Linked DNA regions of Nothobranchius furzeri. The protein of the gene in region 1 interacts with the protein of each later gene in a pairwise test. Links are inferred from orthologs where the notes say so. Each region holds a gene or a part of one and is shown on either strand. Other genes may lie near its edges.

Region 1 (3,514 bases):
GCTACAATGGAGCGTGGCTAGACCGACCTGCAGAGCTAATAGTTTTGCTAGTTGGTCTAAAAGCTAAAGGCTGTTTTAAGATAAATTCATTATTATCTTAGTTTGCAGGAGAGATCGAATGAGAGGCGGGCCAAAAGTGGCCCTGGGTCTAAATGGAACATTAAATGTTAAGAAAAGCAAATTAAAACAGTAACAAAAAGCCAGAACAACCGATGTTTGTGGTAAAATGCGTTCTGACCTGGAAGTCAAAGACGCAGAGCTCTACGGCATCAGAGGGCTGGCAGTTTGCCAGGAAGCTCTGGTGGTTGAAGACACAGCCCACGGTCCGGTACGGGGAAGAAGGCTTGGGTTGGAGGGCCAGGGGAGGTGCGTCTGGATCAACGGCTCGGTGCAGATATCTGATCACGCAAACAGGAAATAAATGTCCTGTGGGCCAAAGCCTGGCTGCTGGTTTCAGGGAAATTTCATCATAAGACTCTGAGTTAATCCTGTTTATTTCTCTCACACACACACACACACACACACAGATAAACAAAACGCAAACACATGTACATACACACTTACGTACACACACACACACACCCTCACTCTCTCCTTCTCTCTCTCTCACACACACACACACAAAACGCAAACACATGTACATACACACTTACGTACACACACACACACACACACCCTCACTCTCTCCTTCTCTCTCTCTCACACACACACACACAAAACGCAAACACATGTACATACACACTTACGTACACACACAGACACACCCTCACTCTCTCCTTCTCTCTCACACACACACACACACACACACACACACACACACACACACACACACACACACACACACACACACACACACACACACACACACACACACACACACACACACACACACACACACACACACACACACACACACACACACACACACACACACACACTAAAACAAAGGACCACTGTGGACTAATTAGGTTTTCTCTGAAATGTCAAAGACAAACGTTAAAAATGCACCTATGTGCCGTCAGACTTTCCCAGAAGGTGATGGTCCCGTCGGTTCCACGGGTCAGGACCCAGGCGTGTGAAACACCTTTGGCTTTGGTGCCCACACACATGTATGCATCTAGACCAAAGCCCAGCAGGAGGCTGCACAGGAGAGCAGCATGGTCCTCACAGTCTCCCTGGAAGGACAAAGCACACAGGACGAGGAAAGTCACCTTTTACGATACCCTAAGTTACTTCTGTCAGATCCTAAGCTGTTTGTGCATCATCCTAAGTAACCTTGGGGAGATCTTAGGTTATGTTTTGATCGACTGACCACAAATCTTGTATTGCCAGCAAATCTTTCTTATCCAAACTGGGGAACAGCAGCACCTGTGATGTTTTAAAACTGAATGAGTCTTTTTGGTGCACTCTCGGGCTTTCTCATATGCGACGAGTCTGCAGAAGAAGACATAACCCTAACTACTCTCATTTCAGCTGAACGAGCCTTCTAGTGAAGAGGCCTCGGCTGAACCGGGACTGCTAGATGATAGATGTTCCACAGAAGTGCTAATGTGGACGGCAGCACCAGAACAGGTGGGCGACTGATGGGCTAAATTAATTTTCCCTGGAATGAAACTCATAAATCACCACTGACAAGGACCACTTTGCCAGAATTGTGCTGCGTCTGTCTCGCCGGCCTCTCACAGAGAAGAGGAACTGAACATTTATCCTGTGGTGGTCTGGGAAACTCCCCACCATCAAGGCAAGATGACCTCAGGAACAACACTGCCCTGCTCAGAAGTTAGGGTCATGCGAGGGCAGCCGGGCCACATTTCTGAGAGGAGGAAGCTAGTTAGTTTTCAGTGCAGCACACTCACCCTGCATGTAGGAGGTAATACAAGTTTTCTATAAGAACTCTGCAGGGAAGCGATGCAGCTACAGCCCCAAACCCACAGCGTTCTATTAAAAGGTGGAAAACTACAGGTCAGGTAAACACGACTTCAACACCGTCCTCTGCAGCCCGCGGACAAACGGAAGCACCAGCGATCTCTGATGATGGCTCGAGGCATCAGTCGAAACATGTCATTTGTATTTTGTAATTTGAATTGCTTTTATTTCTGAATTGCTATTATTTTTGATTTATTCACTATATTTGTACTTCTACTGTACCATGTTCAGCGCCTTGGGCTTCCTGACAGGGTTGAGGAAGGCGCTTTACAAATAAAGCTTTGATTGATTGATTGATTGATGTCAGGTGAAAAACTCTTTTTTACTAAACTGTAATGGATTATGAAGTGAAACGCAGAACGAACCGCGGATAAACGGAGTAGGAAGTGACGCCACCATCAGCGTCAGCTCTGAGGAAGTTTGCAGCCGCGAACGAAACTGTCAGCAGCAAGGTAAAAAGAAACCTTTTCTGTGTTTTAAAAGAGAACCAACAACGCCGTTAGAAAAGCAACACAGCAAGAACATACCAAAGACAGAACGAACCAACAAAAGACCTAAGAGAACGTCATGTTTCTGACCGTATCCGCTGCACCAGGTGTTACACCACTTCCTATGACTATAGAGCGAGGGCTTGTAGACAGAAGGTTGGACCTTAAAACTGTTACTTTTCAAAATGAAGCCTGTTCGCATGGCTTTTACATGTCGTCCACCTTTAAATGAAAAAAGTACCGTCCAACACCACCAGCTCACTGATAGCCCTAACCCCCCTACAGGACTTGGTATAAACACCGATGACCACCTTGGACTCGTTTCTTGTCGCTGGGATCTGCTGTGATGTCTGTTTGTGACAACCTCTTTTGTTACGAGGTGGATGTTGAGAGAATTCTCTAAACGTGTTTCTCGGTCCTGAAACAAAAGGAAGCGCCAGGCACGTACCTTCCCCCGGCACAGGAACGCCAGTAATGTGCACCACTGCTCCTGCTTGGCCCCCCCTCCCACCACTGGAGGCCTCTGGTGAGCCAGCAGGCTGACGAAGCGGGCGGCCTGTCGAGGACTCTCCAGGAGGCGGCCGGCACGAAGGACACGCACGTACGAACACACTGGTCTGTTGACTCCGTTCTCATCCTGTCAAGCGTGCAGACACCCCCCACAAATCAGGGAATGCTCAGAGATTACATTTAAGGCTGAAGTGTGAGAATTTCTCCTCCCAAAACCACGTCACACACTGTAAGAGAGCCAGTAGACCTCAGAGGAAGTGGTCACTTGCATGTGAAGTGCTAAAGAGGGAGGCAGAACTCAGCAACAATAGCTGACCTGAGCAAAGATCTTCACCAGTTTGGACTGGTGAGAAGGTCGGATCTCCAGGAACTCTCTCCACCACTGCTTGGCATAAACCAGGAAGAGCCTCTCCTTCTCTGCTGTCCTCTGTCTCTCCAGGGATTGCTGAAGGGGGGGCGTACGACATCATCAGCAAACATGTTTCCCTCACAGCTCTGAGTTCGTTTCCACAGATCGTCGCTTCATGAGCACAGTGATGGAGTTCTGCTGTAACCATTCAGTCTTAGACCACAGAGATTAGGGTCCTTCA
Region 2 (4,265 bases), on another chromosome or scaffold:
TAAAGAACTTTTCTTTAAACTCTACCAGCTCGACGAGTTTGATCCTGCATGTCTTGGGTTAGACACTTACCTCGAGTCATGACATTATTCTCACATACGTAGCTTAAACCAATTGTGGCTCAGTATACCGTTGATTGACGCATAAATAGCAAAGGACTCCAAATGGTCTGCTTCCACAAGCTGATTAAGAACTACTGTGATTGGTGGATTGCTGCATGTCCACAAACTGTCTAAACATCACCTGTGCGAAGACATTTCCCATTGTTAGTATTGGTTGGAACAATCAGAAAGACGACCCCTGGCCCAGCAAAATAAATGACTGACTCTATATTTCTGAGTTTAAAATCAAAACAATATACTTGAACTTCTGCTAGAGAGCAAATCTAGCATCATGAAGTGGGTTACAGTTAAGACCGTCTCTTACCTTTCCTCTGCAGAAAGAGCCGGAGTAGAGGGTTCGCTGTGGAGATTGCCTTGTGGTAGTTGTCATCATTGTTGATGGGCAGCAGGTCCCCGTGAACATCAGCGTAGGCCACCAACAACTCCACATTGGGGATGTGATGTACGTGCTGCAGGAGCCCATAGAACTCATCGAAGCGACCTGGTTTCGACCGGTCCAGCGAGAACCGACGAAACTCAGCACCAAACTGGGACGGGGCAGACAGGTATTAGGACGCGAGAATAAATATGCAAAAAGACATCAAAAAGGTTAGAACTAGAGCTGCTGGGATGTAGAAAAAATGACGTGGAAGGAGTAATGAGTATAAAACCGTAATGAGTCTGGCTTCCACATGTAAAAGCTAACATAACACATTATTAAACACTGCGACTAGACAGCATGTGTTTGTAGGGATGCACCGATACGATACTGGTATCGGCACGATACCGATACCAATACCAGTATTGGTAAAAGTTAACCGATACCAATGCAGTTGCTTGAAAATGGCTTGACTGTAACTTGTCATTTCTGTTCACCTAATATTTTAGTTTTGTGATCATTTCTATTCATATATTTTACTTTTTATCTACCTCACAGTCTTTCCTGTTGAAAGCAGAGAAGAAAATAAAATCTGTATTCCAAATCATTGCATTTTTTTGTGTGGTAGAAGTATCGGTATAGGTAATCGGTATCGGCGAGTACTCAGATCCAAGTATCAGTATTGTATCGGTCTGGGAAAAAGTGGTATCGTTGCATCCCTATGGGTTTGTGGATGCAATAAATTCAAGAGGTGAATAAGACCGTCTTATCAACAGGCCTTACAGGATGTTTGGTTCTGTCATCAGACAAAACAAGGTGTTGTCAGCTAGGGATGTCCCGATACAACTTTTTCAGTTCCGATACGATACCGATATTGCAGCCTTCAGTACTGACCGATACCGATATCAATCTGATACGATATCAGCACAAATCATACATACTTTTACCTATTTCGTAGTGTGGAATGGATGAAAGGCTTGATGAGGTGATATTACTCAATCGGAGAACAAGAGCCAATGACAGTAAGTATGAAAAAAATGACAATTTTTTCTTAACCATTGGTTGCAAATATGTGAAGCTTAATGGACTGCTTATATGAGAGATTTTTGATGCTGTCTGATATAATCCCATACTCTGTTTGTTGGCCAACATCCAATTACTTCAGATATCGATATCGGAATGGAACATCCCTATTTTCAGCTCAAATGCATCCCCTAATAAACGCTGCAGGTTAGTAGATAAATGGTCTCAGATGCCTGATCTTCTGGCAGCTGTGTAGCTGACACACACACACACACACACACACACACACACACACACACACACACACACACACACACACACACCAATGCCTCATTGCTGATGTTGACAGGAAGTAGTGGTTGTTGTGGTTACCGTTGCCAAGCACTGACAATGAACAATCTCTAATTCACTGGTCACTAGTTACTCATCAGAGCACAGATATGTACACAACACAGGTTTGGAGGTAAAAAGGTGAGTCCTAAATATGAGGAAAGGGAACTATTTAGTTCCTCTTCACATCTCAGTTTGGAAAACACACTTCTATAACTTTGTGATGAGGCTGAGAAGCATGTTAACCCAAAAGAAGTTATAAAAATTAAACTAGTACTATCATAACAACAAACAGTAACTACGGTACTTATGCTGTGGACTAGACACGGCTAGCTGGCCGCGGAAGGAGCCAGGCTACCACCTGCTGAAGCCGAATGACACCTGCACACCAGGAACAAATAGTTCCATGACCAGCAGGTAGCGACACCTTCGTGGAGGCTTTAATGGTCATTAACGATTAAAAATCCGTTACATAAACGGGAGGTTGGGGAAACGTCGGTAACCGAATAGAGGGAGCGGCGGAGGAAGTGACAGGTGACACTGGCCCGACCAGCTGACACGAACCTCCACCTTCAAACTTACAGAATAAAACTAACTAAATGTTCCTGCGTCACACTGCGCTCAAAAGTTACCGCCGCTTAGAGAGGGTCCGAATCAGCGCAGTTTATACGTGCCATTAGCGCGCGACCATAGCCAGCCGAGCCACTTAGCAGGCTAAATTAGCTAGAGTAATCGCCACAGAGTTAGCGCGTAAAACTGAGAAAAACGTCCCGTCTCACCTTGCTCTTCACCTCCACGGCACTCAGAGAGCGGCTGCTCGGCACTCGGTGGGTCTTGTTCATGTTTCGGTAGCAGCGGGACCGCCGCCAAGGCACTCATAAACACACACCGCCCTGCTGCAGTTACCGTAACACCGAAAAGAGTGGTATTTTTCCAGGAACACAAACTGTCCCGCCACGTCTCGGCGTCCACCGGTCGCTGAAGTCGCTCCCAAAAACGTTGCGACGGCTGTCAAGCAGCCTGTCTCAGTCTGTGAACTTCTCTCCTCTCATTTTTGCAACTCTGGCTCCGACGCCGCTCAGTTGGTGCCTCTCGGTGTGTGTCCGCCACCCGCCCCCGAACGGACCGTCTGCCTCTTCAGAAGCTGAAAGACCCGGACGCTTCAAAATAAAAGCCTCTGTGACTCCGCTGGCTTCAAAATAAGGTTCGTTTTTATAATCGCATTACAAAAACCTGAAAGGGTTTGGTAATCTTAATCCAAGCAACAAGATTAATACTAGATGGACAATAAATCACATAAAAATATTATGTTTCTCTCTCTCTCTCTCTCTCTCTCTCTCTCTCTCTCTCTCTCTCTCTCTCTCTCTCTCTCTCTATATATATATATATATATATATATATATATATATATATATATATATATATAAGAAGTTATAGATAAAAGTATGTATGATTTGTGCTGATATCGTATCAGATTGATATCGGTGTCGGTCAGTACTGAAGGCTGCAATATCGGTATATATACATACATATATATATATATATATATATATATATATATATATATATATATATATATATATATATATATATATATATATATATATATTGAGTCCAGTTTTACAGCTTAAAAATAAAGTTAAATGTATTCAAAGCACAGTCATTATTCCTAATTGCACAGAGTGCAATAAATGAAAGAATAAATCTGTTTAGACAAACACATTTTTCATGATGTCCTGATTTGCAGCAAACGTGCCTTGTAATCAGGTTTAATGTATTTATACTATTAACAAGTTCAATAAGTTTGAAGAAAGCATTAACCACGTTGACTTTTTATTCTAACACTACAGCGCCACCCCCTGGCCACAAAGTGAGGTCACTGCAGAAACAGGCATGTTTTACCAACAGTGTGAAGACCTTATAACACTAGTTTATAATTTTATACAGATTACATTAAATCAAATCTAAAATAAGAAAATATGTCATTAATTTCTAATGTCTTTGTAAACTAATTTGTCATTTGACATGTGGAAAGTCTCTTATAATATGTAATAACATGGAAAGTGAACCTAGCAGAAACTAGTGTATTTATATATGAAATCACCTTCATCACTGCATCCAGTAAATTAAATGTCGTGGTCTTTTTTTCCAGATTTAATCTAAAACTGCATTTCTGGTTTGGAAGGATGCGGCTCCCGGGTGAAATGAGGATTCCTCTAACTGTTTCTGCAGCTCTGTTCATGAAATATAATGTGGATTAGGCCTTTGTTTTCCTTTTTCCTTCAAAGTGAAACAGTGACAAATTAAAAATGAACTAATCCCAGAAATAAACTGAGACATGTCAGATAGTGATGCCAGAGCTCGGCTCTTTCACCGCCTCCTCCAGCTCATAAAGCGCTCCTAATGAGCAGAAGGTCAGCTCATCCTTTTGTTG
Region 3 (4,116 bases), on another chromosome or scaffold:
GATACAAAACTGGAATGAAGTTTATGTTAAGGATGTTAATGTTGCATATGATAAATTCATGAAAATCCTAATGGAACTAAATAATAAACATTGTAAATTACAACAAATTAAGTTTGGTAGTGAACTTCATCCTTGGTTGACTAATGGCATAAAGAATGCTTGTGTAAAGACAAACACTTTGTACAGACGTGTTCTTAAATTACAGACGGAGGCTGAGGAAAAATATAAAAAACATACAACTAAATTAACCACAATCATAAGGAAACACAAAAATAATTATTATAGTGAATTGTTAAACAGAAATGAAAACAATTCACAAGCTACCCGGGGAATAATAAACAGTGTGACCACCAGGGTAAATAAAGCTGATTCTAATTTGCCTAGTTACTTTGTCAAGGGACAAACTGATATTTATGACTTCAAAGAAGTCACTAACGAGTTTAATGACTTCTTTGTAAGTGTAGGGACTAGTTTGATACGTACAAAACCAAACGTAGAAGACAAACTGAATACTATTACAGAAAATCCTAATAGCATTCACCTTACTAAGGTTGAAAAGAATGAAGTGATTGACATTGTAAAAAACTGTGGAAACAAAAGATCTAATGATAATGAGGATTTGGATATGATCATGGTAAAAAGTATAATTGAAACTGTTGTTGAACCATTTACATATATTTGTAATTCGTCACTTTCATTGGGAGTATTTCCTAATGCAATGAAAATGGCTAAAGTGGTCCCATTATTTAAGAATGGTGATAAACAAAATGTTACTAATTATCGACCAAAATCACTGCTTCCACAGTTTTCTAAAATTATGGAATAAATCTTTGTTACACGGATGGATACGTTTATTGAGGAAAATAGTGTTCTAAATAATGGACAGTATGGCTTCAGGGCCAATCACTCAACTGCTATGGCTATAATGGAATTGGATAATAGAATATCAACAGCAACAGACAATAAACAATATTTTCTAAGTATTTTTATTGATTTAAAAAAACTTTTGATGTTATAGATTATGATAGGTTATAACAAAAATTACATGGCTATGGAATCAGAGGTGTGGCACATCAATGGGCGAGAAGTTACTTAGAAAATAGAAAACAATTTGTTCAGATAGATAATATTAAATCACAATTGAGGGAAATTGGTCATGGTGCTCCTCAGGGGTCAGTTCTAGGCCCAAAACTGTTTTTATTGTACATAAATGATTTAATGAATGTATCTCCGCAACTTGGAAGCTTATTATTTGCTGACGATACAACTTTGTTTCATTCAGGGTCTAACATTGCTGAAGGTATCAAAGAGATAAATGATGAGTTAATGAAAATCACAAACTGGTTTGACACAAACAGGTTGTCACTTCATCTTAAGAAAATTAACGTATCGTTGAAAATGGATGGTATGGGACTTAAGAGGGTAAAGGAAATCAAATTTTTGTGTGTTATGTTTGATGAAAATCTTTCATGGAAACCCCATATTATACACATTAAGGGTACAATAGCTAAGGCCATTGCAGTATTACACAGAATTTAAAGTTTATTGAATAATTCTGGAATGTTAACTCTCTATAACGCGATGATTACACCATATTTGATGTGGGGCAGAGCTTCATAAGATGTATTCTTCTGTCTGCTCCTTTGGATAGAATTTTATGTTTATTGATTTTATTCTGATCTTGTTTTTTTTTTACATATTTTTTTCTTTGAATGAAATAAAGAAGCAAAATAAAAAATGAAAAAACAAAAATAATGCTACTTTAGGTGTAGACGTTGATTCATACCTATATTTCTATTAGAAAAGTACAGCTAAGAATAATGCAGGGCCGATGCACAATGTTTCTGAATTTTTGGAGATTGTATTAATCATGATCAATGTCATAATGAGAATTAGAATTATTTATCACTCCACAAGACTGTACGATGAAACTGAGGACTATGCTAATTTATGCTGGTTACAAAACAAGTTATGCATTAATATTGAAGCAATAAAGTAATCTATGGGGAGAAACTCCAGCTGAATGGCAGGGTAGTGGGGCTAAAGGTCACCATCTACTGGTGTGATTAATTATTGCCAACACGCTATATGATCTCCTCCCTGGTTTAGTAACAGACATTATAAATATAATCAGTATTATGAATGAAAAAGAAAGAGCCTCAGTCTAAGAAAAACTTATTTACATGAATAAAAGTGAAAAACATTAAATTTCGTAATGACATGCTGTCTATTATTGAGTCTCAACCGCTGGAAATAAAGGTTTCTTTTAAAGTTTTAAATTTTTTTTTTTTGCTGTGGTTCCTCATGAGGACTGGAATGTCAGACCTAAACAAAGTAGTTGCTTTACTTTTTGGTCAAAGTTTAAATTTAGTTGCAGCTCTGCTCAAATTACTAGGAGCAAAAAAATGCAATGTAAGAAAGTTATGCCCGACACCATTTGGAGTTAACTCTTGGGTTACCACAAAAAATAAATAAACGCAGGTAATCAGTTACTTCATTTTGTAAACAAGTTCAGAACTGTGTTTAAACGGTAAGTTAGAAAACACACGTAAAACTCTTTAGCAGAGCTGCTTTGCTAGGCTAAAGCTGAAACTTGATTCAACCTGGGTGGAAATCGGGCGTCTTCATGTCCTCCCCATCGTCTAATTTTTTCAGATACTGATGGACAAGTTGTTCCTTATCTTCAGTCGTAGCCTCATCTAAATCACATTCAAGCTGACTCTGTAAAGGAAAAAGTGTAGAGAGACTGCACTGGGACGCCATGTTGACATCAACAACAAATTTACCCGGAAGTATCGCCGATTGCCCAACAGCAAATTGCCCAATCAGAACCGGGAATCTCAACAGCCAATCACCGCCGAGCTATAAAGTAATGATGTAGATTCCCAACCCTGGTTTCGATACAAACGTGAAACAAAAATATTGTTCCTGTAAAGAAAACCTTTAATATTACACCTATTTTAAACGGAGTTAATCAAAGTTTTATGAAAATTTATATTTTCAACTGATAAAGTCAGCTAAGTAAGGAGTTCTAGTTCAGTGATTGTGTAGAAAGTGCGGCTGGGTTGATCTTGGAGTATTAACGTTAGTAACCGGTTTACTGTGTGGCGGTAAGTGTTGCTTGCACTAAAACATTCAGGAGGAAACGTTATATTTTAAGAAAACATGACTCTGTCGTAATTAATTACTTATTTTTCGATGATTACTTAGCGTAGAATTCATGCAAAGCAATAAGGACCATCTGTATTAGCACAGCAGTCGTCCCTGGAATGTTATCCTTCAGCAGTACTAGTGTAATAAAGAGTGTTGTGGGGAAACGGTTCAAATGTCACAAAAGGACGACTCTGAAAGCGACATTTGGGATTATAAACCCCTCATGAAGAAAAAAAGAAGCAATAAATCACAGTTTGTGACCAGAAGATGCCCTTCTAGGAAAACGTCCAGGAAAGACACTTCTGTTCCAGTCAAGTCTCACAAGGAGAGTAAAACAGAAGAATCAGGCGAAAGTGGAGCTGCTGCTGGGGATGAGGAGGAAGACAGCAGGTTAGAGGCTACCCTGTTGACTCCTGCTAAAGAGACAGTCGAAAGAGACAGTCATGAGGCAGGGACACCCTCTGAAGACTACTGTCCCATCTGCCAGATGCCTTTCTTCATTCTGGTTGTTCAGTCCCAGAGGTGGCACGTTGCTGAGTGTCTGGACACCTGCAGAGACAAATGTGAAGGTAAAACTGACACATCTAACACACACACACACACACACACACACACACACACACACACGTGATGGGCTGTATTTGCATTTACACTCATCTGTTTTAGCCTCTCTTGACATGATGCTTATTAATGTATTCCTGCTCCGATGCTCAGAGCTTATATCCCCATGACAACCAGGAGAAGAATACTCTTCTTCCTTCCTTCACTCATGTTTACTTCTAGTCTACATCTGCAGTGTTTTCCAACTTTTGGGACATTTGGAATCTGATTACGGGCATTATTCTGTTCATTAATCATCCATCCCGGTGTATATCAACTCTCCTGTTGGCATGGTTACTTGTTATAACAGATGTTCACTAGTGCCTGAAGAAATTGTTGAAGCAACACACGATTCAAATCAGT
Region 4 (3,653 bases), about 32 Mb from region 1:
TGATGCTCAGATTTCCCAGAATGCAGCAGATCAAAATGATCAGAAACGGACTGAATGACGCTTCAGAAGGTCGTCTCCCCTCTGCAGCCGCCGCTCTGATCCCATCGAACAGTTCTGAGACATTTTGGCTTCATGCAGACATCCGATTGGCTCGTTTTCACCTGTCTGCCCGTTCCCGCCTCTGCGAGAGCTGGACAGGACCTAGAGCAGATTTTCGTTGGTCTGATTCTTCCATCAATTGTAATGAGGAGGGTGCAGGTGTGAGAATGAAGCGCGCCTTTGGAATAAAGAGGTTAAAATAACTCGTCTCTGAGATGTTTGGGTTCATTCCTCGGCACCAAACGGGTTCAGGAGGGCGGGAGGAGCCGCCGTGGCTCAGGTTAAGAGTTCTCCCTGTAACCGGTGGGTTGCAGGTTCAATCCCAGGCTACCATCGGCGTGTGAATGGATGAATGTTTCACTGTAGGGTTTGGAGTGCTGTTGGGCTGAATGCAGAAAACTATCAGAAAGGTTTAAATTCTTTATTGTTTCTATCAAACGTTGCAGCAAGACCGACCGTAAAAATTCATTATTCACACACAAACGGACCACGAGCCTGAAGCTAACGGAGGAAAACGGAACACCACGATTCCCAGTCCCAGAAGTGGTTTTACTGGAAGGTGACCAGTAAGACCTGATCTCCAAACAGCTGCAGGTGAAACCAGCACCAGAGGAACGTTCATGACTACATGAATCACTGGGAGGCTGCTCCACAGAGAAGACCGGCTCATCCCTTGGGTTTAGCGGTTGACTCCTGGATGATTGACAGGTCAGAGGTCAACATCTGAATAAGATCAGCTAGTGAACTGGTTAACAGCAGCCAACGTTAAAGACCTTCATGAAATCTGGAGAGCTGCTGATGTTAAAGTAGAAGGTCCGACTGGTGGGCAGGAGAACCGCAGCAGGAACGGCGGTTCTGGATCTCAGGAACGTGCCGGCTTGTTTCTGATGTACAGATACTGAGTCTGGAGATGAAAACGGAAACCGGTCGGTTCCTGTTGATTTAGCTCTTGTGGTGCGTTCACCGACACAAGAAAATCAGTTTTTAGAGTTTCACGTAGAAACGTAAATCAGCCATCTGGATGCCCTGAAGGCAGCGGCTAAAGGACGGAAACACGGTTCACACGGGACGGCTGCAGCAGCTCAAAATATTTACAAGCTAGTTTACATCTCGGGCAGCATCAGTTCACTTCAGTCCTCCTCATCCTCGTCTCCTCCAAATGACAGGAGGCTGTTGTTTTTTACTTTACTCCCGGTTTTCCCCTCCTCCCCCCCTTTTCCTGCTTCACTCTTCTTCTTCTTGCTGGAAGTGGCAGTGATGCCTTGGAACTTGTCTGAAGAGGAGCGCTTGGCCGGCTTCTTGAACAGGATTTTGCCTTTAGAAGGGGCCTCGCTACCTGTGGGCAGAGCGGGAGTGAGTAAGAGTGTGTGTGTGTGTGTGTGTGTGTGTGTGTGTGTGTGTGTGTGTGGTAACCACAGTCTGACCTGCTGCATCTACTTGATCGTCCTTTCCATCCTTAATCGTCTTCACCTCCTCTGCAGTCAGATCTCCACTCTTTAGAACCACAACTTGAGGTAACTCGTCCTCTCGATCGCTCCCGCCGTCATCGTCCAGATCTGGCATCACCTGGCGCTGAGATGCAAACCGGAAGGTAAAACCTACAGTTCTGATTTTGATCCTGAAAGACTTCTTCTGTATCAAACTAATTTCACAATCAGCGTAAAACCAAATGTAGTTTTGAACTCTCACCAAACCACCCCGGCCTCTAAACCTGGCCAGTGGCCCAGTGGTGTGAGTGTATGATTGTAGTGGGAGGCCGGGGTTCAAATCCCGCTCGGGTCACACCCAGGACTAGTGGGACCTCCCTGCTTGACACTCAGCATTAAGGGGTTAAACCACCAAATAGTTTCCGAGCGCAGCCATAGCTGCAGCTCACCGCTCCCCACGCGGACGGGTCACGTGTAAAGTCACCGCTATGTTGATGACTAACGGGACTAACTAGCAGTGATGCTGGGTTAACAGCTGATGAGTCTCACATCCCATCTGAATCAGAGGTTAACCAGCTGGTGACGGAGTCCTGTTTACTCCGCGCAGGTAACCCAACCCTACCTTCGTGTCGACGTTGGGTCCTTCTTTGAAGCCGACGTCACTTTTAAACTTGGTGAGGAACGACGGTTCCGCCGGTTTCACCCACGAAACCCCGCTGCTTCTGTTTTTATTCATTAGAAACGGCACAACAACCACGAGCTACGGGCTAACGCGACTTCCGCACAAAACACGGAAACCACGCGATAAGACGCGCGGCGGGTCACGTGACCCTCACGAGCAGCTGTGATTCGTGCATTCTTAAGTCAACCGGAATAGAAGACTTTCAGAATAAAGGTTGGAATTGTTTCGGCTTAAACTACTGGTGTTTAGACTGAAAGTGCGGGTTTGATTATGCGTGTTTGCCATTTGGGGAAAACAGTTGATTTATAAAAATGATGATAAACAAGACTTGATTTATTTAAAAACTACAACTGCGTAAAAAAGATGAATTTCCTAGATATAACCTAAACACATTTACATGTTGCACATTAGAAAAACATACAACATAAACTTAGTGTTACAGAATATATCAGCGAACTGAGCAACAAATATTTTCTCCTGGCTTAAAAATGTCAGTAAAGCCAAAACGTGATTCAAATAAGACCTTTATTGTGAAATCTCACCGCACCTGCCCACATGGGATGACAAACTTCCGTTCAGGTGGTGCTTGTAGTTCCAAGTAGTCTTGTTACTGTACTACTTCCTCTGAGATGCTTTGCGGATCTCTCTACGCGCTGTTTGCGGGTTTTCTGGGCGCCGCAGCGTCTCTGTCCGCTAAGCTGTCCCTGGGTCCCGCTTACCTGCAGGAGATGTGCGACTCCGCGCTGCGCGGCTGGTCTGAAGGAGCTTCCGTCTGCGGATGGGTAATAACTACTTTTATTAGATCTTACAGCTTCCGTCTTGCAGATCTCTGACATCGCAACTTTTCTGGAGTCTTGTTGAACCTTCTTCCGGTGTGGAGCAGGTGCTGCGCACAAATGTGTTCCCCGTGAAAGACTGGTCTTCATTTCCAGCCATGGGGGGTGTTTCCTGGTTAGATCTGCTACAGAAGCTAGCGGAAACACTTTTCATGCCTCTCAACAACGTCCTAACATGGTGTAGCTGTAATCATGTAACGGAGACAAAAACCGGAATAAACGGTGAAGCACCGATCTGTTACGGTCAAAAGAGAAGGATACTGAACACCAGGGGAACACATTTCGATAAAACACCGGAAGTTTTGTCCCTGCTTTCAGATGCACGTGCCCCTGCGGTTCTTGTGTGGAGGTCTGCTGCTCTGCTGTAACGCGGTCATGTGGACCATGTTCTCCAAGGCTCTCCGCCATGCCTCCTCCTCCGCGGGGGCCACGGTCACCACCACGGCGTCCAACTTCATCTGCTCGGTCAGCGTTTGTCTGTCCTGTCCTCGCTCACGTGCTCCAGGTGAAAGCGGTCCCGTTCACGTTGCCTCTGCTGTGATTGTGTCCAGGGACTCCTGGGGAGGCTGGTCTTCAGAGAGACACACACCTCTCTGTGGTGGGCAGGGA

Evidence for each region.
Region 2: the proteins of cep76 (region 1) and pard6b interact in binary tests that used the Homo sapiens proteins (3 or more experiments, as listed by UniProt). The two-hybrid records come from large-scale screens. The link is inferred for Nothobranchius furzeri from reciprocal best matches to the Homo sapiens genes CEP76 and PARD6B.
Region 3: the proteins of cep76 (region 1) and nhlrc2 interact in binary tests that used the Homo sapiens proteins (3 or more experiments, as listed by UniProt). The two-hybrid records come from large-scale screens. The link is inferred for Nothobranchius furzeri from reciprocal best matches to the Homo sapiens genes CEP76 and NHLRC2.
Region 4: the proteins of cep76 (region 1) and kiaa1143 interact in binary tests that used the Homo sapiens proteins (3 or more experiments, as listed by UniProt). The two-hybrid records come from large-scale screens. The link is inferred for Nothobranchius furzeri from reciprocal best matches to the Homo sapiens genes CEP76 and KIAA1143.

What each region holds. Positions count from the first base shown.
Region 1 is NC_091745.1:49,058,732-49,062,245, reverse strand, and holds part of cep76 (centrosomal protein of 76 kDa), read right to left. Parts: intron 3,370-3,514; coding exon 3,241-3,369; intron 3,052-3,240; coding exon 2,863-3,051; intron 1,176-2,862; coding exon 1,009-1,175; intron 399-1,008; coding exon 239-398; intron 1-238. UniProt on the Homo sapiens protein: Centrosomal protein involved in regulation of centriole duplication. Required to limit centriole duplication to once per cell cycle by preventing centriole reduplication.
Region 2 is NC_091755.1:48,112,509-48,116,773, forward strand, and holds the start of pard6b (partitioning defective 6 homolog beta), read right to left. Parts: upstream 2,807-4,265; 5' UTR 2,674-2,806; coding exon 2,611-2,673; intron 648-2,610; coding exon 425-647; intron 1-424. UniProt on the Homo sapiens protein: Adapter protein involved in asymmetrical cell division and cell polarization processes. Probably involved in formation of epithelial tight junctions.
Region 3 is NC_091756.1:38,299,112-38,303,227, forward strand, and holds the start of nhlrc2 (NHL repeat-containing protein 2), read right to left. Parts: upstream 2,807-4,116; 5' UTR 2,764-2,806; coding exon 2,604-2,763; intron 1-2,603. Other genes in the region: dclre1a (DNA cross-link repair 1A protein), read left to right, coding at 3,326-3,722. UniProt on the Homo sapiens protein: Required for normal embryonic development.
Region 4 is NC_091745.1:80,717,570-80,721,222, reverse strand, and holds kiaa1143 (uncharacterized protein KIAA1143 homolog), read right to left. Parts: upstream 2,354-3,653; 5' UTR 2,263-2,353; coding exon 2,149-2,262; intron 1,672-2,148; coding exon 1,524-1,671; intron 1,436-1,523; coding exon 1,230-1,435; 3' UTR 507-1,229; downstream 1-506. Other genes in the region: transmembrane protein 42, read left to right, coding at 2,838-2,990, 3,363-3,509, 3,596-3,653.